4 linked regions of the Canis lupus familiaris genome follow. The protein of the gene in region 1 binds, or shares a complex with, the protein of each later gene. Links are inferred from orthologs where the notes say so. Each region holds a gene or a part of one and is shown in the gene's direction. Other genes may lie near its edges. The genes, in order: PPP4R3B, PPP4R4, PPP4R1 and PPP4C.

Evidence for each region.
Region 2: PPP4R3B (region 1) and PPP4R4 share a complex: the UniProt entries of both Homo sapiens proteins name them as parts of the PP4 complex. The link is inferred for Canis lupus familiaris from reciprocal best matches to the Homo sapiens genes PPP4R3B and PPP4R4.
Region 3: PPP4R3B (region 1) and PPP4R1 share a complex: the UniProt entries of both Homo sapiens proteins name them as parts of the PP4 complex. The link is inferred for Canis lupus familiaris from reciprocal best matches to the Homo sapiens genes PPP4R3B and PPP4R1.
Region 4: PPP4R3B (region 1) and PPP4C share a complex: the UniProt entries of both Homo sapiens proteins name them as parts of the PP4 complex. The link is inferred for Canis lupus familiaris from reciprocal best matches to the Homo sapiens genes PPP4R3B and PPP4C.

The regions. Positions count from the first base shown.
Region 1 is NC_049231.1:57,719,901-57,727,874, reverse strand, and holds part of PPP4R3B (serine/threonine-protein phosphatase 4 regulatory subunit 3B), read left to right. Parts: intron 1-3,645; coding exon 3,646-4,269; intron 4,270-7,974. UniProt on the Homo sapiens protein: Regulatory subunit of serine/threonine-protein phosphatase 4 (PP4). May regulate the activity of PPP4C at centrosomal microtubule organizing centers.
Region 2 is NC_049229.1:63,602,979-63,610,952, forward strand, and holds part of PPP4R4 (serine/threonine-protein phosphatase 4 regulatory subunit 4), read left to right. Parts: intron 1-3,571; coding exon 3,572-3,677; intron 3,678-4,753; coding exon 4,754-4,901; intron 4,902-7,974. UniProt on the Homo sapiens protein: Putative regulatory subunit of serine/threonine-protein phosphatase 4.
Region 3 is NC_049228.1:75,606,504-75,613,754, reverse strand, and holds the end of PPP4R1 (serine/threonine-protein phosphatase 4 regulatory subunit 1), read left to right. Parts: intron 1-1,773; coding exon 1,774-1,894; intron 1,895-1,991; coding exon 1,992-2,126; intron 2,127-2,621; coding exon 2,622-2,763; intron 2,764-3,866; coding exon 3,867-4,030; 3' UTR 4,031-5,018; downstream 5,019-7,251. UniProt on the Homo sapiens protein: Regulatory subunit of serine/threonine-protein phosphatase 4. May play a role in regulation of cell division in renal glomeruli. The PPP4C-PPP4R1 PP4 complex may play a role in dephosphorylation and regulation of HDAC3.
Region 4 is NC_049227.1:18,251,818-18,258,962, forward strand, and holds the end of PPP4C (serine/threonine-protein phosphatase 4 catalytic subunit), read left to right. Parts: intron 1-3,576; coding exon 3,577-3,628; intron 3,629-4,206; coding exon 4,207-4,257; intron 4,258-4,432; coding exon 4,433-4,534; intron 4,535-5,042; coding exon 5,043-5,216; intron 5,217-5,314; coding exon 5,315-5,441; intron 5,442-6,233; coding exon 6,234-6,423; intron 6,424-6,502; coding exon 6,503-6,632; 3' UTR 6,633-6,958; downstream 6,959-7,145. UniProt on the Homo sapiens protein: Protein phosphatase that is involved in many processes such as microtubule organization at centrosomes, maturation of spliceosomal snRNPs, apoptosis, DNA repair, tumor necrosis factor (TNF)-alpha signaling, activation of c-Jun N-terminal kinase MAPK8, regulation of histone acetylation, DNA damage checkpoint signaling, NF-kappa-B activation and cell migration.

The DNA.
Region 1 (7,974 bases):
AGGGGAATGGTAAATAATAGAGCAGAAAGAACAATTGGAGAGGAAGAAGTTAGAGCTGATTTCTGTATATATAGCTTTTAAAAAGCATGAAGTCAAAAGTACATATGGAAGTTTTAACCTCAGAAAATGAGAGGGTAAGGATATTTTCTTTGAAAGAGATTAAGGAAATGAGTGAAAATAAGTTGTGAGATGGAGAAGGATGTTGGAGTATGTTGAATACTAGTGGTCTCTTTCTTTCAAAGGAAAGATTCTCTTTCCTGAGATTTAAAGGAGAAAGTAATAGTGTTTGATACTTAAAAAGGGGGAAGAATCAAAACAAAAGCTGTAAAGAAGTAAGCTAGGAGTGTGGAAAAGAAATTATTGTTGAGAACCCTACTGACAGTATAAATTTTTTGTGAACGTGCTCAGCATAGTTAGTTGACTGACTTTAAGGATGTTAAGGTTAGATTGTGTTACAGTAACAAAATCCTAAAACCTCAGTGGCTTATCACAACAAAAATTTGTTTTTCCTTAATGCTATATGACCAGTGAGGAGTACAATTGGACAGGAAGGGGCTGTGCTTATCAGAGCCACTCAGGGACCCAGTTGATAGAGAATTTATTTTAGTATTTCCAAAATCATTGCAATGTGAGAAAGAAAGATGGCAATTGGCGCATTGGCTTTTAAAAGTTTTTCCCAGAGGTTACATATGGCAGTTTTGCTCACATTTCATTGGCCAAAACAAATCATAGAGCTACGAATAACTTTGTGGGCACAAAAGTCGCGCCGCAAAAGGAAGAGAACCCGAAATACTTGATGAACAGCACTGTTGACATCCAGATAGTCACTTGGGTTTATGTGGGATTGACAGATCATATCAGTGAGAGTTAAATTTAGGAGAGTCCAGGAAGCTTGTAAGGGTTATACTGGATAACACAGAAATAAACATCACCAGTGAATGCTTCTATAGCTGTGCTTTTATTCTGAGACATGTGCAAACTATATTCATTTAGAGTGTAAGTTAAATATTTTATTTTTAAGTAATCTCTATGCAACCTGGGGCTTGAACTCACAACCCTAAGAGTTACATGCTCCACAGACTGAGCCTGCCAGGCACCCCTCCTCTGATTTCTTCTTCTTTCTTTATAACCTATGATTCTCCTTCCTCTTCCTTCCCCACGTCATACACTACTCCTGTTTCTCTGGTTACTATCAGACTCCTCTGTCTTTAAGTGTTAATCCTAATACCTAATTTCTGTCCTCTTACTTTCTGTCCTATTCTCTTTCCTGAGTAGTAGGTCTACAGATTTAATTGCAAGCTGGGTATTCAGACACCTCAAACTTAATAAAACTGAGCTTGTACTAACCATTCCTCTCTGGAATGTACCAGTTTTTATTAAAGGAGCCATAATCTTCCTAATGACATATTTAAAACTGTAGGATAATTCATGGTTCCTCCTCTCTTTCCTTTTTTCTTTTAAATTTTTTATTTATTTATGATAGTCACACAGAGAGAGAGAGAGGCAGAGACACAGGCAGAGGGAGAAGCAGGCTCCATGCACCGGGAGCCCGACGTGGGAGTCGATCCCAGGTCTCCAGGATCACGCCCTGGGCCAAAGGCAGGCGCTAAACCGCTGCGCCACCCAGGGATCCCCCTCCTCTCTTTTCTACCTGTCCCTTATCTACCCCACCATCACTATCCAAATTCAGTTGTTCATATACACTTTGGAATAACACCTTAATTTATCTATATTCTCAAATTTATTCCATACATCTGATGCCAGGTTGACTTTATAAAGGATAATGCTGCACATTCACTTCCCTGAACTCAAGTGTTCTAGCTTGACTTTCCATAATCTGGCTTTAATCTACATTTCCAGTTTTGCTGTTTGCCATATGCATGTCACACATTTCCATCTGTCTGCCTCTACTATTCCCTTTGCAGACTTTTATCCCCATCTGAATCTTACCCATCTTTGAAAGTCCAAATGCCACTGCTTTTTTTTTTTTTTTTTCATAATTTCTTCCTTACAGTCTCACTCCTGTATTCCTGAAGAGCTGGGAGGAATGTCCCTTCCTCTGAATTTCCATGGTATTTTCTCTCTCTCTCTCTCTCTCTTTTTTTTTTTTTTAGAATTTGAGTATTTTTTCTTCTTTCTTTTTTTTTTTTTTTTTTATTGAGTTCAGTTTGACAACATATAGTCTAACACCCAGTGCTCATCCCATCAAGTCCATGGTGTTTTATCTGAACTGCTCTGTTACTTGTCCTTTCTCTGTTTGTCTGTCTCCCTAAACTCAGCTACTCTGTTGAGGACTCAGAAGTAAAAGAAGTACTCTCATGCTGTAGGAGGAAAAGTATCTTATATGCACTAGTGTATCTCTTTACTTTCTCTAAGCTCTTAGGACTTTTTTCACGTGTTGTTTTGGTGGATTTGGAATTATGTGGAGCTTTTTTACCTCAGGATATTGGAAGTTTTGAGGGGAAAAGAGGATAATTACACTCTCGTGTTGGGAATTAGAAAAAAAAATTATAAAGTTTTTATATTAAACAATCATTATAGAAATCATTATAGAAAACTTGTCATAAGTTAGCCATGCTTTTCTTGAGCTGTCAACATGAATCATAAAACAGTTTTGTATTTATTATGTTTTCTATGTATTGTAACTTGGAGGCTTTATCACAGATGTTAAATGAAAGCCAATTTTTAAAAGAATATTCTTTGTTTTTTTAGAGCAGTTTTAGGCTCATAACAAAAGTAAGTATTTTTCCCAAAGTGAATTTCAAAAGTAATTTAAGGAAATCTCCTCCCTCTTGAATATGCAAGGAGTTGGGTTTCAGTTTCATTTAAACTTAAGAGTGTTTGGGGTGCTTGGGCGGCTCAGTTGGGTAGGCATCTGACTCTTGATTTCAGCTCAGGTCATAATCTCAGGTTTGTGAGATTAAGCTCTGCATGGAGCTCCTTGCTGGGTATGGAGCCTGCTTAAGATTCCTTCTCTCTCAGGACTGATTGAGCGTCGTCTGCCTTCGGTCCAGCACATGATCCTGGAGTCCCGGGATTGGGTCCCATATCGGGCTTCCTGCATGGAGCCTGCTTCTCCTTTTGCCTATGTCTCTCTATCTCTCTGTCCCTCATGAATAAATAAATAAATCTTAAAAAAAAAATTCCTTCTCTCTCTCCCTCTCTCATAAAAAAGTGTGTGTGTGTGTAAAAATAAATACATATATATATTAAAAATTAGTAGTTTTTTTCTTGGTTTAATCTGATGGTGCATTAAGAGTCATACAGAGTGATTTGGGGGACCCACAGAAGAGTTAAACTGCAAAATTCAAAATTAGGAATACTGAAGTTACTAAACAACTATGTAGTTTCTATATAACATCACATAAATCAATGTAACAGTTTAAATGTTCAGGTTGTCAAGAATCAGAGTTAACTTCAAGTTTTAAGTTGTGAAATTTAGAGGTGAAATTGAGACGCCAATAATTTAAACTGGATGTGTTATCTCCCTCTAGACTTCACTTCTAATTAACAATGGACTGTGTGGCTAGTATTGTTTCTTTGCAAGATATATTTTTACTTAAATTCAGTGGTCAGTGATTTGATTTCCAAAACTTTGAATTCTTTTGTATTTTAAGGTAACCAGCTATACTTGGATGTTTTTAGGTTCAAGGTAAGGATCCATCTGTGGAAGTCACACAGGACCTCATTGATGAATCAGAAGAAGAACGATTTGAAGAAATACCTGAAACCAGTCATCTGATTGACCTACCCACATGTGAACTCAATAAACTTGAAGAGATTGCTGACTTAGTTACCTCAGTTCTCTCCTCACCTATCCGTAGGGAAAAGCTGGCTCTGGCCTTGGAAAATGAAGGCTATATTAAAAAACTACTGCAGCTGTTCCAAGCTTGTGAGAATCTAGAAAACACTGAAGGCTTACACCATTTGTATGAAATTATTAGAGGAATATTATTCCTAAATAAGGCAACTTTGTTTGAAGTAATGTTTTCTGATGAGTGTATCATGGATGTTGTGGGATGCCTTGAATATGACCCTGCTTTGGCTCAGCCAAAAAGGCATAGAGAATTTTTGACCAAAACTGCAAAGTTTAAGGAAGTTATACCAATAACAGACTCTGAACTAAGGCAAAAAATACATCAGACTTACAGGGTACAGTACATTCAGGACATCATTTTGCCTACGCCATCTGTTTTTGAAGAGAATTTTCTTTCCACTCTAACGTCTTTTATTTTCTTCAACAAAGTGGAGATAGTCAGCATGTTGCAGGTAAGTGAACAAAGGTGTTCTTTTTTTTTTTTTTTTTTTTTTCAGTTATTTATCTCCTATAATAGTTTATGCTGGTGTTCATTCCTTTTTGGAAGATTTCTTTTGTTTATCTTAAATATACTGTCAAGCACAGAAAACAGGACTTTATCTCATGGGTATTTGAAGGAGAATCCTTTCTTAATGCAAACTTTTACATTTTTAAGTGTTCTCTGATGGAGCTTTTTTTTTTTTAACTTCATTTTTACATGCATTAAAAAATTATATATATGATACAAAATTGATCATTTTAACCATTTTAAGTATATAATTCATAACATTAAGTGCATTCACAGTGTTATGCAGCCATCACCACTATCCATTTCCAGAACTTTTTCATCATCCTGAACAAAAGCACCTGTTTTAAGACTATCTTTTAGTTCATTTTATGAGCCCTAATTATCATTGGAGGTATATATAAGTATGTGTGTGTGTGCTTAAAGCTTCCCAAATAATTGAGATATGCAGCCAGGACTGAGAAACAGTCATTAATTTTCAGGAAATGATAATTAGATTATTTACTGTGTGAAGTTGGTTTTATTCTGTCTCCTTGAGTTGTAAAATAGAAGTTCATACTGTGTTTATTGTGTTAATCCTTTATACCCTAACAGTGTAGTAAAGATGATTTTGAAGATTTTTATTTACTATAACCGCCTATATATAACTATATATATCTGTAACTGCCTATATAACTGCCTTTGTTATGTCCATATCACTCATTAAGTTTTTTGAGCAGCCTCTGTATACATCATATAGTGGTTCTCAGGGTTTCTGAAACCGTTTTCAGAGAGATCTGTGAAGTTTTTCCTTTTCCAGCTTCTTGTCACTGTGAGGCCATATATCCTTCATATACTTCAACCAGAACAAGGTATCACAACAGATTGGACTATAAGAAGATAATGGAATATAGCTTTCTTCTATTAAGTCAAACATTATAGAGATTTGCAAAAATGTAAAAGCCGTTTTTTCTGAATTTATAATTTTTTTCTAAATTTATAAAATTTTCTCATAAAATATTTACATAGATTTATAATAGCTTAGTTTTAAAACAAATTAATGTTTTAAAATGTTTGTTTTTATTATAAATATTGATAAACATAATCCACATAATAAAAGCTCTTTGGAGTCCTCCATAATTTTTAAGAGTTCAAAGGGGGCCTGAGACCAAAAAGTTGAGAATCTTTTTCTTAGTGTTTAGCTATGTGATTCATTTTATGATGGCCTGATATCTGTAGCTTCTTAAGTGAGTATTAACCTGCTGTTGTAGGAGTTACATAAGCAAGCAAAAATGTAAGAATTCTATCTGGACCAAAATGAGTTAGTCAAAGGTACATAACTCCTAGCCTGAATCAGGTTAATTGAGAAATTAAAAGAAAGCACTTACTATGGTCTCTGGCTCCTGGTATGTACTCTTAATATACGTTGAGATTCTCTTAAGTTTGTTTGGGGCATAAGAGTTTGGTTAATCTGAACTTTTTTTTTTTTTAAGATTTTATTTATTTATTAATGAGAGACCCAGAGAGAGAGAGAGAGAGGCAGAGGCAGAGGCAGAGGGAGAAGCAGGCTCCATACAGGGAGCCTGATGTGGGACTCTATCCCGAGACTCCAGGATCACACCCTGGGCTGAAGGGAGGCACTCAACCACTGAGCCACCGAGGCGTCCCAACCCTGAACTTTCTAACTACAAATCAAAATCCCATGTGCCCAGAATTAAGAAATCTAAGTATGTTTTAAAAATTAATTTTCTAAAAGCCAATAAAGTGAGTTATTTTGCATAGACAGCTACAGATAAGATCTTTTTCAGAACAAAATTTCACTTCCTTCACTAGAAATGGTAGAGGACAGGTATCTCAAATTTAACATATAACATATATTTCCACTATTCCATAAATGAGAGTTGAGCTAAAAACCCATTAAAATCAGAAGTTTAGTTCTTTTTTGACTTATTTTGTGGATTTCAGCCCTAAAGAAAGACATTTCTAACCTTTATCCCAGTTATTAATATATTAAATATTCCAATGCCTTTAAGAAAACAACTGTTTACAATAATATAATGCTTCATTTTGTTTTAGAGGTTTTTGGACTTCATCTAGGATTTAACATATTAAATTTTACTAGATTTGGCCTATTCTAGTTTGTGTCTATGTTTTACTTTGGGTTCATAACTTTAAACTACTTAGAAATTTGTCCTGTGGTTTATTATACATGGTAGGAGTGACAAAAACCTGATTGTGTAGGAAACCTAGATTCTAAATCCATCTTTGTTACTAGCCAGCCTCAGGAAAGTCCACTCTTTGGGCATTAGTCTCTTGAAATTTAGAATTGGACTAGGCAATGTATGTAATCTTTTAAAGCCTAGTCTAATTCTAAATTTCTGCATTTACATGACTCTAATAATGGTGAATGGGTTCTGGGTTTGGGATGGTTTTTGTTGTTGTTTTTAAAGTCAACTCTGCATCGGACATGGTCTCAAACTCCACTCTAAGATCAAGAGTTGCATGCTCTACTGACTGAGCAAGCCAGGCACCCCTGGGTTTTTGGATTTTGAATGTGTCCTGTTTTTACATTACTACAAGGAAAAGTTTGACTCAGACTTTTTAAAAGTAGTCCCCTTTTCCCCCCATAAGGTTTTTTGCGTAATTCAGAGAAGCAGCCATACACAATTTGTCTTAAAATAATTGTTTTATTAAAAATAAAGGATTTTAAAACTAAATGAAAAAGCAAAACTAAATTTATCTAAAAATACTAGTTTAATTACTTGGAGAACCAGGTATTTGGAGGGAAACATTACAACTATATGATAGGCTTTAAGTTGTCAATTAAATTTTTTTTTTAAGATTTTTATTTAGAATGCTCACAAGCAGGGCTGGGTGTAGGAAGAGCAGAGGGAGAGGGAGAAGCAGATTCCCCACTGAGCAGGGAGCCTGACCCAGAGCTCAGTCCCAGGACCTGAAGACCACAATCTGAGTCAAAGGCAAAAATGCTTCACCAACTGAAGCCACCCAGGCATCCCAATTAACTGGTTTTTTTTAATGTACACTGGAACAGAATGCTTTTATAGAGTATTATCAAGAATAAGGAAATCAGAAAAAAAGTATATGTGTATAGTAGGAATTAGGAAATATTCTCATAGCGGGGTATATAATCCTTGAAATTGCCTCCCTAATACATTATGCAGTTCTAGCTGTCAGCACACAAATAATCATGGAAGAGATTGCATTTATCAAAGAAATGGAATTGTTTTCCTACGAAAGTATTCTCAAAAAAGTTAAAAATCTTTAGATAAGAAAGGGAGTTTAATCTGGGAGAGATGGAAGAAGAAAAAAAATTATAAAAGGTTTAAGTGGAGGTAAATGCATATTCACCAAAACCTAAAATATTGAGATGAAAAGTACTTAGAAAAAGTGATTTGAGAAATGATTATAAGATTGTATATGCAGGGGATCCCTGGGTGGCTCAGCGGATTAGCCACCTGCCTTTGGCCCAGGACGTGATCTTGGAGTCCCACATCAGGCTCCCTGCATGGAGCCTACTTCTCCCTCTGCCTGTGTCTCTGCCTCTCTCTCTGTGTCTCTCATGAATAAATAAATAAAATCTTTAAAAAAAAAAAAAAAGATTGTATATGCAGTTGAACTCTCTCAGAAACAGATGGTTCAGGCCATGGTGTAT
Region 2 (7,974 bases), on another chromosome or scaffold:
TAGGAGTGAATAAGACAGACTCCTGCTCTTAACAGAGCTTGTGTTCTGAAGGGGTGGTGGCAGGATAGATAATAAAACAGGGTCAGGGAATATATTAACAGCTGCTAGTAAGTGCTATGAAGTTTGATCTTAATTGTTTATCTCAGCCTGATGATTTAGTACTGCTGTACTTACAAAGCTAAGAAGACATAATTATGCCATATTTTTAACTTCACTTATCAAGAAAGAAATGATTTACAACATAGAGTATGAACAAAGTACTTGCAAGTCTAAGAGATTTGTTTTACCTTCTTTTACAAGACAGTGATTCCACACTTAAAAGGAGATACATGGTTATTATAGCATGTTTTCCATGATCAAAGAGGATACTTTATTCTGCTTCAATATTCTCTGGAGAAAAGAAAGATTTATATTTTCCATTCCATACTTAATGGCTAGAAGACTCATGCATTCATTCAGCAAAATTTATTGAGTGCTTACTATGTGCCAAGCACTATATCTAGGGTACCTAAAAGAGACAAAGGAAATATTATCCTGGAATCTGAAATTTCACTGGAGACAGACAGTAAGCCAACATATGTAGATAGTATGTCAGGGAAGAACAACAGTGAAGAACAGTAAAGCAGGGTAGAGAATGAGGAACGTGACAGTGGGTAGTAGGATGCTCTTGTGGAGAGAGAGTGGTCAGGAAGGAGTCCTCTCTGATCAAGTACACTTCATGCAGAGGTTTGAACCAAATAAAGGAGTTACCGTGTGGATGTCTGAAGGACAGGTGGCCTGGGCAAAGGGAATAGTGTGGTTGCGTGAGGAGCAAGGAAGCTGGTGTGGTGAGTGGCAGAGAGATGAGGCAGGGGGTGGTGGGGCCCGCAGCACAGTGCACTTTCAGGGCCTTGACATGGAATCAAGCTTGTATGCTCTGAAACATGGAAAATCTTTGGAAGGTTTTGAGTAATGATTTTTTTTCTACTTTTTCTACTTTTGTAAAGATACAGAAAGGCAGAGAAAATGATGAACCCCCATGTAGAACTCAGCTAGACTGAATAGTTATTAACATTTTGCCATATCCACTTTTTCTGTTTCATTGTGCTGAGGAATTTTAAATTCTAAGTATCATTATATTTTATCTCTGAACATTTCAGTGTTCGTCTCTAACAAAGGACATCCTCCTATATAATCACAATATAGCCATTGCATTTTACAAAGCAGACAATTATTCTTCAATGTTGTTTCATATCTCTGCAGTCCACATTGGCCCCCTAAGTATATTTTATAATTGTTTTATTCCATATAGGATCCAATGCATATCCATATAGGATCTACATTGCCTTTGGCTGTTACAACTCTTAATTGTCTTTTAATTCAGAACAGGCTCCCACTTCTCCCTTTTGCCACTTTTTCATGACATTGAATTGTGGAAGAGACTTTGTTGTCCTGTAGAATATTCTGTCAGAGTGCTGCTTCATGGTTCACCTATTCTCAATATTTCTTGTAAATGGGAAATTAGATCTAATAGAAAATTAACCTAAAGCTCACTGAATTTTAGGTTACACATTTTTGGTGAGAATACTTCTTGGACACCAATTTACATTTTATATTGCATCCTATCCAGACATGTGTTTCTCTGTCAGTGAGCTCAGAGTGTTTGTCCAGGTGGGGACAGCTTTATCAGTCTGGTGCAAAATTATGTTTTCTCTTGCAAGGTACACTGTACCCTGAAGCTGATGGTTGGAACACTCTGAACACCATTTTTCCATCAACCTTAACACTCATTAGGCAACCACTGGTGATCCTTCCTGAATCTGTTTTCATTAGAACTTGCAGGAGAGTGATTTTTAAAAATTCTATCACTTCTACATTTTTCATGACATTCTTCCATGAAGAGATATTCTTCTTTATCCATTTGGGTAATTTGATTACACTGAAATATATTTCCTCATGTAATCCTTAGTTTTTTCCTCCTGCTGTCAGTTTTTAGAGTTAGGAGCTGGTGCAGTAACCACTCCCAGTGGTGACAACTGAGTTTTGTTTTGGTTTTGTCTCCCTTTCAGGCTTATTCTCTAATATTAGATATTGTTTTAATCAAATGCAGTCATTGTTTGTGTACTCAGATTGTCACAATTTACTCAGGCAGGGCCTGACATGTTTTTGATACGATTACCTTCATCTTTGATTTCTGGCCCAAAAGATAGCTTATGTTATACTGTGAGGTAAAAAAAAAAAATTTTTTTCATGTGACTAGTATTGATGTGTTTGAAATTCTATTAGTATACACAAATTGAAGAAGAGAGTAACATGTTTTTATTCAGTTCATTTATCTAAAATTCATTTTTAAAATGCCAGTGATGCTTCTCTTTATGTACCTTTCTTAAATTTTCTGTTCTAATTCATAGGGAATACTCTCCTTTTACGTTTTTTTTTTTTTTTTTTTTTTTTTAAATTGAATAAGGAGGAACTTTATTTATATATTTGTGGCTCAAGGTGATCAGATGGTTTTTTTTTTTTTTTTTTATGATAGTCACACAGAGAGAAAGAGAGAGAGGCAGAGACACAGGCAGAGGGAGAAGCAGACTCCATGCACCGGGAGCCCGATGTGGGATTCGATCCCGGGTCTCCAGGATCACGCCCTGGACCAAAGGCAGGCGCCAAACCGCTGCGCCACCCAGGGATCCCTCCTTTTACGTTTAACACATCAAAAATACCACACAGAATAGTACTCTAGAGAAAAAGAGCTTGTATAAAACATGAGAGGAGGTAGTAGGCTACTCCCCGCAGTGTAGTAAGTTTTATTCTACTTGAATTTCAAGGATCCCCACTATAATACTCTGAATCTTTGAATATTAAATATGATGGTATTTATATGTAAGCCAAGGTGGTAAATACGAATTTTTTACTGGTTGAGAGATTTTTTTTCTAATATATAATTTGAACCCAGTAAAGATAGATAATTGAATTCATTTACAGTTGACAAATTCTGCCCAGTGATAAGATGGAAAGTCAGAAGACAAAGGATTATAGAACACTAGTCAGAGTCACTGACATGGTGTCCCTTGGATTCTAAATTTTATCTGTGATATAGGCCAGGGATCTCGATGAATGGTCGAAGAGGCAGAAGCAAGCGGAAGGATTGAAGGGTACACTTGATCATATGATTTCTAGATTTCAATTTAGAAGTGGCACATTTTTGGTGATTAGGTCTAAGGCAGGGCATGTTCTTGCAATATTTGTTGAATAAATGAATGACAAGGTCCAGGGAATGGCTAAGAGAATGGATGGCTGAGATGTTTTTGGGGAGAATGCCACTTAACGATGAAGTGGCAGAGAAAGGAGAGTCAACTAAAAATCAGATCTGGATGATTTGGAAATGACTGTGCCAAACTAAATTAACTTTGTAATGTGATGCATTAGTTGATCTGCCTGAGTGATATTCACACTGAATTAGGAAGACACTTCCTAGGTGATTTGAGAGGCAGACAAAATTGCTCTTACTTTTAGCCAAAACTGAAAATTGATCTGTGGAGCAAAACTATGCTATAAGATTAGTCTAATTGTCTTTCCTACCTGTTTCTTTAAGAATGTCTTACCTGTCCAAAAGGCAGCTTCACGAACTCTATGCATTTTTCTACGTTATAATCGTAAACAAGAACAGAGACATGAGGTCATTCAGAAGTTAATTGAACGTAAGTAATCATTGCCTTTTATTTGGAAAAGCAGAAAGTAAACTGGCCTTAGTTATCTTGGGCCGACATTATGTATCATTTTTCCGTGATGTTGATAAATATCTAGAGTGTGTATTTGAGTTTTGTAGGTTATTTATTTTTTTTTGCTTTAGAAATTTAAATGACAGGATCGGTCTGTGATTGAATGGGAGAAATATTTACTCTGGGCCTTCTTTAGTGAGTTTCTACACTTGAGAAATTAAAATAATGTATATATATATTTTTTTTAATTTATTTTTTATTGGTTTTCAATTTGCCAACAGATAGAATAACACCTAGTGCTCATCCCGTCAAGTGCCCCCCTCAGTGCCTGTCACCCAGTCACCCCCACCCCCCCGCCCTCCTCCCCTTCCACCACCCCTAGTTCATTTCCCAGAGGAGTCTCTCATGTTCTGTCTCCCTCCCTAATATTTCCCACTTGTTTTCTCTCCTTCCCCTTTATTCCCTTTCACTATTTTTTATATTCCCCAAATGAATGAGACCATATAATGTTTGTCCTTCTCCGATTGACTTATTTCACTCAGCATAATACCCTCCAGTTCCATCCATGTCGAAGCAAATGGTGGGTATTTGTCATTTCTAATGGCTGAGGAATATTCCATTGTATACATAGACCTCAACTTCTTTATCCATTCCTCTGTCGATGGACACCGAGGGTCCTTCCACAGTTTGGCTATTGTGGACATTGCTGCTATAAACATCGGGGTGCAGGTGTCCCGGTATTTCATTGCATCTGTATCTTTGGGGTAAATCCCTAGCAGTGCAATTGCTGGGTCGTAGGGCAGGTCTATTTTTAACTCTTTGAGGAACCTCCACACCGTTTCCCAGAGTGGCTGCACCAGTTCACATTCCCACCGACAGTGTAAGAGGGTTCCCTTTTCTCCGCATCCTCTCCAACATTTGTGGTCTCCTGCCTTGTTAATTTTCCCCATTCTCACTGGTGTGAGGTGGTATCTCATTGTGGTTTTGATTTGTATTTGTCACATATAATTTCATGCAGGAAAGATTAAACTTATCTTTTTTGTTGTTGTTTCTAGAACTGGGCCAAGGAAAAAGTTATTGGAATAGACTTCGATTTTTGGATACCTGTGAATTTATTATAGAGATCTTTTCCAAATCATTTTTCTGTAAATATTTCTTTCTACCTGCTATTGAACTGACACATGATCCGGTGGCAAATGTAAGGTATGCTACTAATCCAAAGAAATACTTGAAAATATTGTACATTTAACTTTATCTACTATAATTCATCTTCTGATCTACTATAATGTACTTACACTTTGAAATTCCTGGTAGTCTTAATTCATGAGCCTCAATAGGACTTGGAGGCATAATCTTTTTAAACAGTGCCTCATGTCTTTGATTTATTGGGTTAAGAGAGTAGTAGTCAAAGCCAGACTGGCAGGCTTCTCCTGCCACTTGGATAAATACATAACATTGGTGTCAGGAGAAGGTTGAGTAGATAGATATTCTTAATTTATGGATTTTCTGAGACTAAAGAAAATAACTTAAAGTTGGCTTGGCCAAGTTCTGTCCATTTTTAGAGGCAATCAGGATTGGATTTTGTTTCGTATTTTTAGTGTAAGAAAATACAGAAAATGCTACTGCATTGGCTTCAGTATTTTTACATCTATGTTGTTAATATTTTGCAAATTGAAGTTGTGACTCTAGAAAATCAGCTCCCGGTGTGATGAATTATCATTTATCAAGCAATTGACAAAGATTATTTGAAAGGAAATGAAATCATCTCTACTCTGGTCAATATGACTAAATGCATAGCATTGACCCTAAGAGATAGCAACCTGACAATTCAAAAACCAAATGAAGATTAATTGAACATTGCTCCATAAATATTGGTTATTTTTGGAGGGTAAGAGATCATTGCATAGCAATTTGTCTTGGTTTCAGTTTTCTTCTTTTTTTTTTTTTAAGATTTTATTTATTCATGAGAGACACAGAGAGAGAGGCAGAGACACAGGCAGAGGGAGAAGCAGGCTCCCCTCGGGAAGCCTAATGTGGGACTCAATCCTAGGACTCTGGGATCACGACCTGAGCCAAAGGCAGACACTCAACCTTTGAGCCACCCAAGTTTCAGTCTTCTACCTGGGCAGCTGCCAGCCAAACAAATGGATTCAGCAACACAGTATGCTAATTGGCTTTTGGATACAAAGCATTTGCCCAACTCTGTAGAGATGTTATTTAGAATGAAAGCCATCACAGGCAAGAGTGGTGGGATCATGCACTTAGTAGGAGGGTTTCTGGAGCTATACCACCTGGCCTGATTTCCAGCTATATACTAGCTGTGGTCTTTGGGCAAGTTACATAATCTCTCCGTGCACTAATTTCCTTAATTACCCAATTCATAGGGTGTTCTGAGGAATAAATACCTGAGATAATGTATATAACAAAGTTAGCTTACCAGAAAGATGTGATATCTAATCTTAAAATCTTTATAATCTCACGGGTCCAGGAATCTCACAGAGATAACTCACCGCTGTGGCTTCTTCTTCTGTACCTTCTGTTGAATATATGTTTTCTAGACCTACTTTGAGTTATGAAGAATGAAGTATGCATAATAGTCTGTTGTTTCTGTTTTTCCTTAAGTGAATGTTTAAAATTTGAATTCATTGATTATAGACAATATGAAGCCTGGAAAGACCATTGGTATTCCAAAGGAACCTTCCCCTTTGCCAGAAATGCAAAAAATTCTCTTTGGGGCAACTCGGGCCTCTTAATTTAAAGAAAGCATCACCAGGATCCGTGGTGAGCTCTGAGTGAGTTTAAGACCATTATTGCTATGAACAGAGCTGAAAATTCTGGAGGAAGAGCCTGTTTAGCCTTTTTGCTTGAATAAAAAGCCAATTTTTTTTTTTTTTTTTTTTTTTATATGAAGATTCCTCAACTGTGAGCTTAGCTGACAAAGTGTCCTGGAAACTCTGGGAGTGGAACTTGGTTGTCTCAAATTGGCATAAGGAGTAAAAAAAATAGTATTTGGAGAGCACTAAGATGAATGAATTGATACAGCAGCTAAAACATAGGCAACCACCTAGCATCCCTCTTTAAAGCCAGCCCTGGCAGAGTGGTAGGGTAGTAGCTTAGCAAAGCAGAGAATTTTTTTTGTACTGCTTCTTCCTAGGAAGCTTTCTGTACTTCCCTGGATTGCTTCTCTCCTCTTTGGCATTCTTCAGCCTGCGTGTTGCTTCCTTATCCATGTGGTATAGACTGGGATGGCACCTAGACTCTGTCCTTTTATCTTTTCTTGAACTGTACCTACAGCCTTGGTGATCTGTCCAGTCTCATGACTTGCATATCATCTGTGTGCTAAAGATTCCTGACTATATGGATATCCCTCCTGGACGGGAGCCACGTTGAGCTAGCTGCCCACCTAGCATTTCCATGGCATGTCCAACAGGTGCCTCAGACTCAGTCTGTCCCAAAGTAAATCCTCATCTCCTGCACCTGCACACACCCTTGCTCCTTCTGCAGTGTTCTCCCTCTGAGCAAATGACCATCGCACCTTAGCACCCACTCAGGTCAAAACCTTAACCTCTTTTCTGCCAACCCACTGCAGTCCCTCAGCACATCCTGCTGCTTGCAAAATATACTGAGTCCAACTGCTTCTCCCCACCTGACTGCTAGCACTGTAATTCAGGCGGCCACCATCTACTGCCTGAATTACTGCCAGAGCTTCCCTATCGTTTCCCTTCCATCCCCAAACACCTACAGTCTCCTCTCTCTTAGACTCAGTAGTCAGATGGTCCTTCCTGCATGTTAAGTCGGATCCCTTCATTCCTCGGTGCAAAATTCTCCATGACTTCCTATGGTGCTCAAAGGAAAAGCCAGTCTTCAAGCAGTGGTCTACAAGGCCCTGCAGGAGCTGGCCTCCTGTTGACAGTTTGGGCCAATTTGCCGATTTGGAGTAATACCCTAGGCAAGCTCCCCCTGTAGAGCATTTGCACATACTGCAGGCCCCTGCCTGTCCTGTTCCTCTCCAGATGGTCACATTACTTCCTAATTTTCTTTAAGTCTTTGCTTAAATATTCTCTTTTCAGTGAAACCTTTGCTGAAACCCTCTGTGACCACGTGTTTTAAAAATGTAATGCCTCTCTGGTACTCTCTCATCTTTTCCTGCTTTATTTTTCTCCACAGCCCTTAGTACTATCTGATGGACATTTTACTGATTTCCTTATTCTTTCTTCCCTGCCCCATACTACAGTGTAAGCTCCCTGAGAGCAGAGAAATTGTTGGTTTTATTCAG
Region 3 (7,251 bases), on another chromosome or scaffold:
CACATGTCTTCCGCTGGTGATGTGAGGGGAGAGGCCGTCTGATCGCGAGCAGGCCGGGTTTGGCTCTGTGGTCGCCAGGATTGCCTGGAGCGCCCAGCGCGCCTGGCTTCCTCTCCCCGGGCCTGCCGGGGCCCCTTGCTGGCAGCGGGAGCTGGTCAGCTGTCCCCCGGCAGCTGGTGGCTCTCGTGCACCCCTGCAGAGCCGGCGGGTGTCCCCCCTCCCTCGGCTGCGGCTGCAGACCACTGCGCGGATGTGGGAGGCTTGTGCTGGAAACGGGGGAAGCTGTCGTGGGCTCAGCCCCAGGCGCTGAGGCGCCGCGTGTGCCTGGCTCCGTCAGGTTCCCCCTCCCCATGGCACGCAGCCTCTGCCTTGTGTCTGTGGCCAGTGCTGGGCAGAGGCCGCTGCCGTCCTCAGCAGGAGGAGACCTCGCTTGTCACCGGGTAGGGCCTTAGCCCAAGAAGCCGTGCCGCGCCGCGCTCTGGGGTAGAGTTCGTTCTCCTCTGCCCCCGGCTGCAGTGTGTCTGCCTGTGCCCGTGGGTGGACGGGCTCTGCTGCCCCTCTGTCAGCACCTTAAGGCTCAGGCTTGGTAAAGAGAGGACCCCGGGGCGGTGCATGGGACTTTACCCCTGTACCTCAACATGTGTCACTCATTTCCTGCCTGCTGAGGGGCCTCTCTCCAGTTTGCTTTCCTGACCCCAGACTTTCTCCTGAGGTATGCACCCAGGGCAAGCCAGCAAGAACATTTGCAGAGTCAGAAAATGGAGTCGAGGGATGCCTGGGTGATTCAGCAGTTGAGCATCTGCTTTTGGCCCAGGGCGTGATCCTGGAGACCCGGGATCGAGTCCCACATGGGGCTCCCTGCATGGGGTCTGCTTCTTCCTCTGCCTGTGTCTCTGCCTCTCTCTCTCTCTCTCTCTCTCTCTCTCTGTGATGAATAAATAAAATCTTCAAAAAGAGAGAGAAAGAAAGAAAAAAAGAAAATGGAGTCAATCATTGTGCCTCTCATTTCTGAGTATTTATGTGTGTGTGTGTGTGTGTGTGTGTATACACACACACACACACACACATACATACAGGTACCTTGGTCATTGCTACATTATGTATATTCATGCCTCTAGTTACTCCCTGCTGATAACGAATGTAAATAGTCTTAAACATGAAATCTGAAAGGCAAAATCTCACTGGTATTGGAGGTATTTTTTCCCGGGCATTGTTGCATCTACTCAAAGTAGCCAGGCGGATACGGTCAGTCTTCAGGTCTACCCAGATGTGATAGAAACAGTCACTAGAGGACCTCTCTGCTTCTCTTATCTCTAATAGGGGTGTCATTCCCTTAGGAGCTGCTCAGAGCTTGGACACACACACCTCAGGCTACCTAATACTACTTACTAGAACTTCTTATTTAGGAAACTGATTTGTAGAAGGAAGTTTCTCAGCATTCTGAACAGTTACATATGTCCATGTCCCAACTGAACATACTAGGAAGTGCTTTGCTCTGTCTCAGTCCCTGTGGACTTAGAATTCCACATTTGTTTTCCTTACATTTTGAGGGGAGGAGATACTTGAACTTGCATAGTGTTTAAAAACATTTCTAGAGACATACAGACTGGTGATGACTCTGTGCATGAGAGACCACATTGCTCACTAGTCTTTGCATGTGTTCATCTTACAAATAGTATCCAGTATTACAAATTATTCAGATGATTAACTTATTTTCATTTATTTATTTTAAAATTTTAATTATATTTTTATTTTTATAATTCATTTTTGTAGACAGCTGATTTTACTTCTAGAATTATATAGTCCCAGAGATGTTTATGACTATTTACGTCCCATTGCTCTGAATCTATGTGCAGATAAAGTTTCTTCTGTTCGTTGGATTTCCTACAAGTTGGTATGTGTTACAATTTTTTCAATTTTAGAACAGCACACTGTTTAATAAGATCCTGGAACAGAAAGTCTTCCTCATGTCTCTGCGCTCCCCCTCCTAGGTTAGTGAGATGGTGAAGAAGCTGCACATGGCAACGCCCCCCACGTTTGGAGTTGACCTCATCAATGAGCTCGTAGAAAACTTTGGTAGATGTCCCAAGTGGTCTGGCCGGCAAGCCTTTGTTTTTGTCTGCCAGGTAAGTGAAGACTTATGCGTGCGTGACACATTTTTCTATCTAAAACTATGTTTCTTCTTTCACTGTGCTTCCCAACACTCTCTTTCTGATCCTTAAGGAACACTTTTGCCATCTGGCTCTCCAGGGGATCACCTGTTCCCCAGTTGGTGTCTGCCTGGCTCATCCCACAGCCATCCACTAGGGGGCGCTCGGGGTCCATGGCATAGCCTGTGGCGTGTGTGTGTGTGTGTGTGTGTGTGTGTGTGTGTGTGTGTGTGTGTAAATGAGCATGACTGCACACTCCGGGACTCAGGAGAGCCATTAAAAACCTATTTGTCTGTGAGGACTTAAAATTATGTCCTCTTAGTTTGGGGTTCCCAAGCGCGTGGAATGATAGTTTAAAAAGAAGTAGCTGAAATCTGTAGTGCTTGGGCTGTTAACAAAAGAGAATGTTAGCCAGTATTCCAGGGTTTGGCGATTACCTTGGCAGATTAAAGGAACTGTTTGTCCTCCTAGACTGTCATCGAGGACGATTGCCTTCCCATGGACCAGTTCGCTCTGCATCTGATGCCGCATCTGCTAACCTTGGCAAATGATCGGGTTCCGAACGTTCGAGTGCTGCTTGCAAAGACGTTAAGACAAACTCTCCTGGAGAAAGGTGGGTAGGTGACTGTTAGGAAAACCGTGTGCTGCGGGGAGGAGGTACACGGACTGCACGGATGGAGACGTAGCTGAGCGGAAGCACTATATGTTCCTACGTGTTATCTGATGGGAGAAGACTTGAGTTGTCAAGTGGGGGCTCCCCCTGAGAGAGGGCACAGATTAGATGACAGGGACTTGTTCGCCTTCCTGCTCCAGGGGCATTTCTTCTATAATCAAGACAGTCATCATGAAGACTGCTAACTCTGGGAAACGAACTAAGGGTGGTAGAAGGGGAGGAGGGCGGGGGGTGGGAGTGAATGGGTGACGGGCACTGGGTGTTATTCTGTATGTTAGTAAATTGAACACCAATAAAAAATAAATAAATAAATAAATAAATAAAAAAAATCAAGACAGTCATTTGAAAGATTAGGTATTCTCTTAAGACAGGATGAGAAACTGCCGTCAGTCTGTCCCACGTGACCTGTGTTACTGTTGCTCAGGGCCAGGAGGCATGTTTGTGTTTCCTCCTCTTCACTCCTTAGGCAGAAGACAGATGCTTCCTGGTATTTGCTTTGCTGCCACATACTAATAAGCTGCTCAAGATTCAGCTGTGTTTTATTTATTGTCGGCGCCCCCCCCCCATATCTAACAAATAGCATTTAAATGCATGAACTCGTGAATGAAGCATAGAAACGTTTGTTAATAGGCTTCTAAGAATATGGGTAAATGAATACTGCTTTTCCCTCCTTTAGAATTCATTTAAATTGTTTTAATAGCAGTAAGGAAATAGCTAAAGAAAACTGGTTCTCAACCTGTGTGATTGGTACTTGGGGTGTTTGTACTGAATTAATACCTATCACAAGTATAAGTGTTAATATATTTATTAGCTTTGCTGCCATTTAGTCTGTTCTAAAAACAAGATAAATCATACAATTCTCTTAGGCTTGGGGATATTTTTCATATCACACCAATCAACTTGGATTACTATTTGTAATTCGACATAGCTTGTGTTTATACTTGGAGAAATTATGTTTATGACTAAGAACTTAGTATACTCATACTTGATAAAACTGAAATGTTAAACTCATTTTATTTGTAATCTGCATTTTGCATCTCCAGAATATTTCCTAACCTCTGCCAGCTGTCATCAGGAAGCCGTAGAACAGACCATCATGGCTCTTCAGATGGATCGTGACAGTGACGTCAAGTATTTTGCAAGCATCCACCCTGCCAGTACCAAAATCTCTGATGATGCCATGAGCACAGCTTCCTCAACCTACTAGAAGGCCGGAACCTCATCCTTCCGCTTCATAGGGAGCCAAGGGCTGACAAGTGCTCCACACATGCGATCTGGGCCAGCCTTGGGGAGGAGGAGAGACCTTCCTCGCTTGCAGATTAATTGCAGGTGCAAGTTGCCTACATTGATACCAGGGATTTTAAGAGTCAAGAGAAAGTACAGTAAACACTATTATCTTATCTTGACTTTAAGGGAAAATAATTTCTCAGAGGATTATAATTGTCACCGAAGCCTTAAATCCTTCCGTCTTCCTGACTGAATGAAACTTGAATTGGCAGAGCATTTTCCGTATGGAAGGGAGGAGATTCCCAGAGACCTGCATTGCTTTCTCCTGGTTTTATTTAATGCCAGATAGATGGAGTGGCAGCCAGAAGGTGGCTGCGAGCCAGGATGTGACCGAGACCTTCAGTATTAGCCCGCACTGTCCCCACGCAGGCAAGGACCTGTTGGTTCCGTGGCCAGCCGCCCAGCCCGGCCCTAAGTGTGAATAGTTGCCGACGTGTGTAAATGCGAAAGGAGATTGGGGGGTGGGTTTCTCCTAAGGGCTTGATGCTAACACTAAAGTAGAATCTGATTTTAACTCTTAAATGCAGCATATTGCTGTGCACATTTACAGAATGTTGGCTGAGTATCTATGTCCCGATTTTCTTCATGCTGGTCATGACCCGAAGGAGTGGATTGGCGCGTGCTGTATGTCAGGTGTTTTTAACTTGATCATGATCGGCTCTGAGGTGCAGCTTTACTTCCCACGTGTACATACCTGTGACCACTCTTGGGAGTGCTGCAGTCTAATCATGCTGTCTAAACTTGTGGCACAAGTTCTCTTGTCCGAATAAAATTTATTAATAAGATTATATAGAGAGATATATACACTTCTGATTGTTTTCTAGATGTCTGCAAATAAATGCAATTTGTGACCTGTATTAATGATTTAGTATGAAGTGGGAAAACTAGATTAAAATATTTGTCTTTTACCTAGTTTAGTAATTTGTTTGCCATCTGCATGTGCCACTTGGGGCCAGGTTCTGTTCCCAGCAGACAGTGGGGTGTCCGGAGTTCAGCCCAAGGCCCCGGACACATAGTCCTGCAGCTCTGAGTCCCCACGGCCTCTGCACAGTGGGAACGGGAAGCCATGCCCCATCTGTGGCCGAGCGGCCTTGCACAAGCTGGGACTGGGACGCTGCAGACTGCTGCATGGAGGTGGCGGTCGCTCTTCTGAGCCCAGCTTGAAGGACCCTTGGCCTGAGTCCCTGGGGTGCACCTGTGAGCTTTGCTTTCCATGACTCAGCCGGCAGGGTCCCCTCGAGCCTCGGGGTGCGGATTGGGGAACACGTAGGCCGTGTTGTGTACAGACTATCGCGACTATCGCAGGTGAGACCTGTGTCTCTGCCTCTTGCATTACAACCCTGCGAGCGGAAGTGTGAGCCAGTTGCCCTGGGATGGAGGAAGCGGGGGTGCACGGCGGTCTATGGAGGGGGTCGGGGGGGTTGGTGGGGCCTGGCCCAGAAGGGGGGCACAGATGGGAGGAGGGCGCAGCCCCAGAATTTCAGTTGTGTAAATGACGTGACCGTCCCACACGAAGCTGCGTTTTTTTTTTTTTTTTAAGGTTTTATTTGTTTATTCATGAGAGAGAGACAGAGAGAGGCAGAGACACAGGCAGAGGGAGAAGCAGGCTCCATGCAGGGAGCCTGATGTGGGACCTGATCCCGGAACCCTGGGATCAGGCCCTGGGCCGAAGGCGGTGCTCCACCCGAGCCCCCCTGGGCGTCCCGGTGCTGCGTGTTCTCGTAAGCGACAGCAGTAATAGTATATTCGGGATAAAGGACTTGAATTTAGGGCAAGCGTACAAAGGCAGCACAGGCCCCTTCCCCGCTGGCCCGGCCTCTCCGCGACCTCGCTGCTGCTCGGCGCTGCCCTTGGAGCCCTCCCGCGTGGTCGCGTCTGAAGAACCGCGGGCCGGGCCGCAGGAGGTGGGGGCTCCGCTCCACACTCAGCGCCATGTGGGCCGAGCCGGGCTGCTCCTGCCTCGGGGCGGGAGCGCCAGGGCTTCTAAGGGAGAGAAGTGGGCTTCCGGAGGCAGCACAGGACCCAGCAAAGGAGGAAAACTGACCGTCCCAGCAGATCTTTGAAACCCTCCAGGAGGTAGAAACTGCAAACCAGCTCAAACTAATTTCATAATCAGAAGAGGAATCAGGTGGTGAGTATGTCCTCATAGGGTTAATGCGGGGCGGCTAATCTTAGGAGATATTCTCTTCCAATCCATGAGCATGGAATATTTTTCCATCTCTTTGTGTCTTCCTCAAGTTCTTTCAAGAGTGTTCTGTAGTTTTTAGGGTATAGATCCTTTGCCTCTTTGGTTAGGTTTATTCCTAGGTATCTTATGCTTTTGGGTGCAATTGTAAATGGGATTGACTCCTTAATTTCTCTTTCTTCAGTCTCATTGTTAGTGTATAGAAATGCCACTGACTTCTGGGCATTGATTTTGTATCCTGCCACGCTACCAAATTGCTGTATGAGTTCTAGCAATCTTGGGGTGGAGGCTTTTGGGTTTTCTATGTAGAGTATCATGTCATCTGCAAAGAGGGAGAGTTTGACTTCTTCTTTGCCAATTCGAATGCCTTTAATGTCTTCTTGTTGTCTGATTGCTGAGGCTAGGACTTCCAGTACTATGTTGAATAGCAGTGGTGAGAGTGGACATCCCTGTCTTGTTCCTGATCTTAGGGGAAAGGCTCCCAGTGCTTCCCCATTGAGAATGATATTTGCTGTGGGCTTTTCGTAGATGGCTTTTAAGATGTTGAGGAATGTTCCCTCTATCCCTACACTCTGAAGAGTTTTGATCAGGAATGGATGCTGTATTTTGTCAAATGCTTTCTCTGCATCTATTGAGAGGATCATATGGTTCTTGTTTTTCCTCTTGCTGATATGATGAATCACATTGATTGTTTTACGAGTGTTGAACCAGCCTTGTGTCCCGGGGATAAATCGCACTTGGTCGTGGTGAATAATCCTCTTAATGTACTGTTGGATCCTATTGGCTAGTATCTTGTTGAGAATTGTTGCATCCATGTTCATCAGGGATATTGGTCTATAATTCTTCTTTTTGGTGGGGTGTTTGGTTTTGGAATTAAGGTGATGCTGGCTTCATAGAACGAGTTTGGAAGTACTCCATCTCTTTCTATCTTTCTGATCGTGAGTCTTAAGTGATGT
Region 4 (7,145 bases), on another chromosome or scaffold:
AGAAGTTCAAGGCAGTTCAAGGCTAAAGGCTCTATGGTTTGTAGACTTCTTATTAATCCCAAGAACAACCCCTAAAGGTGGGTGGTATTGTCCCCATTTTGCAGCCGAGGACTCTTCTATTCAGAGTCAGCCAGCAAGTAAGGGATGGAGTCCGAAGCCAGTGCTCCATATCCTGTCTCTTTTCAGGCCTTAACGCAAGATGGTGGAATTGGATCTCCTCATGTTCAGTGTGAAATAGTAGCAAATAAGTCAGAATGAAATTAAACCTGACATGAAGGGAGGCCTGTGGGAAGTAGGGTCATGTAGTGGTTAACAGCTCAGGCTTTGGAATGTGATGGTTCTGGGTGGGAATGTGAGCGTTGCCACTTACTGGCCCTGTTGGTGATCTTGAGGTCTCTGGCAGTTTCTTTATTTGTAAAGTGGGAATAATAGTATTTAAGAAGATGATGGTGAAGAGGCAGTAAGTTGGTGCCTCGGACTAGCTTAGCATAGTGCTGTGGTACAATGTAAGTGTTCAGCAGTCTTTAGGTGTTACGTTACTACCGTGTAGGAAGGGGGCATTGCCAGTAAGGACCGAAGTCACCAGGGAAGGCTTCTAGGAGAAGGTGGTCTTGGAAGATGAAAATAATTTGGGTAGCTAATGGAAGCAGAGCCAGGGACCAAGGATATTCCCAGGAGGATGAGAGCAGGAGTGGAAGCTCTGGGATGTATGGGCACCAGTGAGGAGACCACTTACCGGCCTCCCCTGAGGTACTGTTTGTGGCTTGTACCACGCTGGAGATTGTGGGGAAAGAGCCAGCACAATGACCCTACATTCCTTGAACAACAGGCGTTGTACTGGCAAGGAACTTCTCTCTTTTCCGTACAGGAGTCTTGTGAGATGGAAGCTGTTTGCTCCCTTTAACATGACTCCTTAGGGACCTAGTGACTTGACTGAGGTCACCCAGAAAGAAAGTAGCAGAGCTAGGTCCCGGCCTTGTGGCTCTAGGCCTCTTGCCTGGCTTTACCTCAGACAGACCCATAGTGGCCAGACTGGGCCTGTTTGGGAAACAGGCAAGGCCTCTTAAATGCTTGTCTGCGACTCTTTTGTGTTCTGGCAGTGAAAGAAAGTTTTCCTGACTGGACCAGCCCCAAGGTGTTTTTAGTCACCGCTGTTCCCTCAGTCTTGACAGCATTTTTAGGAACTTAAACCAACTGTTGCTTGGCACTGTTCTTTTTCCTGTAAGACTCATCTTGCCCAGAGGGCCTGAATTCATTTGGTGGTGATGATAGCTAGTGCTCGCATAGCATGGTGGGGTTTTCAGAATGACACACAGGTTATGTATCCAGTCTCACCTGCTCTTGGCAGCAGCCCTATAGAGCGGGCAGGTTGGAGAGAGTGTTTCACAGAAGAGGAAACTGAGCCTCAGAAGACATAATGCCTTGCCTGTAGCCCCATAGCTGGTAGGAAGAGAGGTTCACTTTGTTTGGATCCAGGTCTTTTACTATACTGCCTGTAAACTGATAGCCAACCAGTCAGCAAGGCAGTGGGGAGCTATAGAGGATTGAGGGGTCGGGGAGTCTTGCCCAGCTGAAACTGAGAAGAGCTTGGGAGGTACTGGGCTGAGACCTAAGTTGGCCAGTATTATCCAGGGTCTGTTCTGAAGGGAGAACAACTTGTGCACCTGGCCGTGGCCTCCTGGAGACCCACAAGGGGCCGAGGCCCAGGCCAGTAGCATCTTGGAACCTCAGCTTGCCCCCAGGGTACATAGATGTAAATTCTTGGAACTAGAGAGGCCTGAAGTATGTGAACCAAACTTGGTCGTCTTTGAAATACCAGTGTAGGGGTGCCTGGCCGACTCAGTCGGTAGAGCATGCAACTTCTGATCTCGGGGTTGTGAGTTTGAGCCCTACATCGGGTGTAGAAATTACTTTAAAAAATACTTACATAGGGGAAGCCCCAGTGGCGCAGCGGTTTAGCGCCACCTGCAGCCCAGGGCGTGATCCAGAAGACCCTGGATCGAGTCCCACGTCAGGCTCTCTGTATGATGCCTGCTTCTCCCTCTGCCTGTGTCTCTGCCTCTCTCTCTGTCTCTATGAATAAATAAATAAATAAAATCTTTAAAAAAATACATATATAATGTATATCACTATGGTAAAAGAGCAGAGGGTTTGAATTGGGTGGTCTTCATCGTGAATCCCAGCTTTGTCCCCTAAAAATGGTGTGACCCTGGTCAAGTCACTGTACCTCTCCAAGTCTTTGAAGTCATTATGGAGCTCAGATGAGATTCTACATATGTAGGGACAGGGACTGGCATTTGTTGTGGAAGTAAAGGTGGGTAAGTGTGAGCTCTGAGAGGGCGGGTGATGTGCTGTGAGTGACAGAGCTGGGGTCGGAGGCTGGTTCTCTTTCCCCCACCTCGCCGGGTCCTGCCCCTTTTTTCTCTGAGCTTCAGTTTCTGTGTCAGATGAGGATGAGAAGAACCCCCCTGAGTCATTTGAAAATGTCTTCACAAGCAGTTGATGTGGAAGGATGCTGGACCCATGATGTAGTCCAGCGGCGGGGAGGGCTTGGTGGCCAGTTGGCCTCCCAGACCCCTGCCGGGACGCCCTCCCATTCCCAGAAAGCCAAGCAACCACACTTCCCTCAAGCTGCTTTTGTCTGAGAGAGTGCCCTCAGGGACATAGGTAAAATCACGGGTTCTCTGAGCTCAGGGAGCTCCTAGTCTCCTAGGAGGAGGCTGGCGGAAAAAGGTAGGCAGGTGCCTGGGGCCCTCCAAAACCAGAGCAGCTTGATAAAAGTGCCAGATCCTGGAGCCAGGCTGCTTGGTTCAAGTCCCACCTGTAGGACTGTAGCCAGTTTATTCATCCGAACAGTGGGTGTCATCACGATGCCTGCTTTGGGGATGGTTCTTTGATTGTGTCGTCGATGCAGAGCTCTTACTGCAGTCCTGCGGCATATCAGCTAGAGTGGTCACTGCTGCTGTCATCAAGGTAGAAATCTGGAAGTGTGGCTCCTCTCCAGTTGACTGTAACTGACAAAGTGATTTTATGTCATGTGCTGGCAAGTAGTAGTAGACTCCACTGCAGGGAGAAATGAAAGAACAACGTTGTCACTCCCTTTAAGTAAGGAAAAACACAGCACATCACTTTGATGGTGTGTCTGATGACTGGGTACCTTGGGATGGTCTGTGCAAGGCCTCTGATGAGCAGAGAGAGACCGTAAGCTAAGTGGAGGACACAGTCTCAGAGTACTCGAGGCTGAGGAAGCAGCGTGAGCAGAGGTCTCTGTGCGGAGAGGAGGTCTGTTTTCTGAATGAGCACCGGTTGTGTGAAAGAGGGCAGCAGGGAGGGTTAGGACTCAGAAGGCTGCTGCCTCCTTGGAAAAACTTTGAATGCAGTTAAGAGTTTGGGCTCTGGCCAATTGGCCTCTGGGAGGCCTGGCCAGGCCTGGTCAACCCACCCTGGGGATATTGCACACCTCACTCCTGCCCCCTAGAGGTTACCTCATATCCTCCCCTGGAAAAGATCAGGAATTGGGCTGGCCTGGCCTGGCCTGGCCTGGCCGTGGTGACCCTGGTCTTCTCCTGTCTCCAGAGAGATCTTGGTAGAGGAGAGCAACGTACAGAGGGTGGACTCGCCAGTCACAGTGAGTACCTGTCCTTCCGGAGCCTAGCTTCGTCTTAGGCACACGGGCATACCCCCTAATCTTACGGGCTGCAGAGGGCTACCCCCATCCCTGAGAGCCCAGGGGCCCTGTGTATCTGCTCCTTCTCCCATCTTTAAGGGAGCCTTGCTATATGAAACAGATGTTATGGGAATGGTCTTTTAATATGTTGGGGGGATACTCTTGGCCAGGGCAGAAGGCTTCTTACTATGGTGAGTGATTCTACTCCAAATGTTCCTGTGTATTCTGTTATTAGCAGCTTTATTCTAGGTTCTTTGAGGGGAACAGGGAGAGGAGCGGGCTAGGTCCTCCAGAAGCTACAGGTCTAACTGGAAAGACCTGGCTCTAGCTCTTGCCCACAGTAGTTGGCACTCTGTGTGGGATGGGTTGTGATTCCAAACCAGGCAGAGTCGGGGTAGGAGAGGAGATTTTGGCCCTAAGAAGTAAAGATTTGGCCAGGAGTGATAAGGAGCTGCTAAACAGTGGGTGTTTTGAAGGTTAGTCCCTGGGAGCAGAGCTTTCAGACTGTGAGTTGCGACCCACCTCTCCTCACTTTGCAGGTATGCGGTGACATCCACGGACAATTCTATGACCTCAAGGAGCTGTTCAGAGTAAGTGTGGGGAGACTCTGGGACCCAAAGGTGACCTGGGGCATGAATTGAGAGTGGAACCTTTAATTTGGTGAGTGGAGTATAGGTGAGAAGCCTCTAGTTTGGTGGCTTTCTGAAAGAAGGGCTGCCATAGCGGGGGACATTTTGGGGACCAAGCAGATTCTTCTCCCCCCAGGTGGGTGGCGACGTCCCAGAGACCAACTACCTCTTCATGGGAGACTTTGTGGATCGTGGTTTCTACAGCGTCGAAACGTTCCTCCTGCTGCTGGCACTGAAGGTGGGGACCTGGGCCACCTCAGGCCTGACCTGTCTGCTTCCTTTCTGCCCCCATCTCTTGACCTGTGCTGCTAGTGCCCAGCTTGCCAGGGAGCAGACAGGGCAGCTTCCCCTGCCCTGGGGGCATCTGACGGGGCCCCTGGAGCAGGAGTTGGAGCAGCAGCATTGAAGGGGAGGGAATAGAGGCGCCCTGTGCTCAGAAAGTGGGGGGTGGGGCATGGAGTTCTCCCGGGTCTGGCATCCATGGGTGGGCAGGATGACAAGGCACCTGAGGGTCTTGTTCAGGACTTGGTGGTGAAAGCGGAGCTGGGTCTATAGTTGGGACAGAGAGAGATCAGCCTCAGATCCCCTGGAGGAGGGGCTGGGGCCTCCGAGGTGGATGCGGCGCCATGCAGAGGCAGGCACGGGATGATGTGATGCTGGGACAGGGCTGACACATGTGAGGGGTCTGAGAGGGACATGGGAGGTGACAGGGGAGAAGCAGAGCCTAGACCCCAGCCCGCCTCCAGGTTCGCTATCCTGACCGCATCACCCTGATCCGGGGCAACCACGAGAGCCGCCAGATCACCCAGGTCTATGGCTTCTATGACGAGTGTCTGCGTAAATACGGCTCGGTGACTGTGTGGCGCTACTGCACAGAGATCTTTGACTACCTCAGCCTGTCGGCCATCATCGATGGCAAGGTAGGCTGGCCTCTGGGCCCTGCAGGGACGGGGAAGGGTGGGGAGGCGAGGAACCGCTGGGCTCAGCTCACCTTCGCTCCTTTCTGGTCTCTGTGTAGATCTTTTGTGTGCACGGGGGTCTCTCCCCCTCCATCCAGACCCTGGACCAGATCCGGACCATTGACCGAAAGCAAGAGGTGCCCCATGACGGGCCCATGTGTGACCTGCTCTGGTCTGACCCTGAAGGTGAGGGTAGTAGGGCGGGCCGGCTCTCCCCTTAGTTTGGCAGGAGACTGAAGGGGTCCTTTGGTTAAAGGGACAGTTAAAGTGTTGAAGGGGTCTAGCGAGGTGGGCTTGGGGAAGAGCAGAACAGGTTGGTTTCCATGGGCCCTGTCCATGAAGAGGAGGAGCGGGGGCAGCTGGTGTTTTGAGCTCTGAGGGGTCAGGCATGTAGATCGTTGTTCGGAGGCTTGTTTGGGACAGAAACATCCGTGCCCTGAATGTGAAGGGGCTTCTGCAGAGGGTAGATGCCCAGAATGCTGGCCCTGTGAGGATTGTCCCTGATTTTGTGGGACTTCCCAGCTAAAATAGAGCAGAGGCTGGATTGAAAGCCAAGTCTCCCGAATACCAAGCTCCTTCTGTGATGACACAGCCTCCACTCTCTCACTGCCCTGCCCAGCTTCCTGGCCACTCCTCCCAGGGCGGCCAGGGCAGGCCTCATTCACACCTGCTTGACCTGTGTGGTCATAATGGGCGCTTCCTTTCACTTTTGGGTACGCCTGTTTGGCCAGTGAATCACATGGCCACTCTGATTATGGGGTAGCTCCAATGGTCAGAAAATTCTTTCTCCTTGGAGCTTATCTGCTCCAGCAATTGCGGTTGACTCTGGGATCCCCCAGAATACACTCAGGCCCTGTGCTCTTGCCCCATGGGCCTCATTGGGAGAAGGGGATGGAATGTTCTTTTTCAAAGGGCAATGGGCACCAGAGAAGCCTGGAGGACACCCTCTCCCCCCATCCCTACCTTCTTTTGCTTCAGACACAACAGGCTGGGGTGTGAGCCCCCGCGGGGCTGGCTACCTGTTTGGCAGTGACGTGGTGGCCCAGTTCAATGCAGCCAACGACATTGACATGATCTGCCGCGCCCATCAACTGGTGATGGAAGGTTACAAGTGGCACTTCAATGAGACTGTGCTCACTGTGTGGTCTGCACCCAACTATTGCTACCGGTGAGCAGCCCGGGCCACGAGGTGGGGGTGGGAGGCAGGCTGACCCACCCGTCTAACACGGCTGCCCTCCTACTTCCAGCTGTGGGAATGTGGCAGCCATCTTGGAGCTGGATGAGCATCTCCAGAAAGATTTCATCATCTTCGAGGCTGCTCCCCAAGAGACCCGGGGCATCCCCTCCAAGAAGCCCGTGGCCGATTATTTCCTGTGATCCCTCCAACCCCTGCAACCTCCAGCCCCTCTGGCCCTCGGACCACTGTGACTCTGCCCTCTTCTCCAGACAGAGGCTGGGCATCGGGGGTGGGGGGGCTGTCTCGGCTCTGCTCTCCCCCCAAAGAGGGCACTTCGAGGGTGAGGACTTTCTCTGGAGAGGCTTGGAGCCTCAGCTCCATGCTCCTCTCCTTTCTCCCCACTTGAACCATGGAGTTTCCAATAATTTTTTGGTTTTCTTTTTTCTTTTTCTTTTTTTTTGTTTGTTTTTAGATAAAAATTTTGAGAGAAAAAAAGAAAAATTCTAATAAAAGGAGAAAAATGGTATTTGGGTGTGTGTCAGACTTGATTGGGAATGAGCAGCAATGCCGGCCTGGCCCTGGGCTGTACCGAGGGCCTTGAACTGCCCCAGCGCCTCAGTGACTGTTCCCAGCAGAGAGAGAGCTGGGTTCTCGGCAGCAGCCTTATTTCATTCTCAAAACAAGGCAGTGTCAGGACATTCAGATTTCCCCAT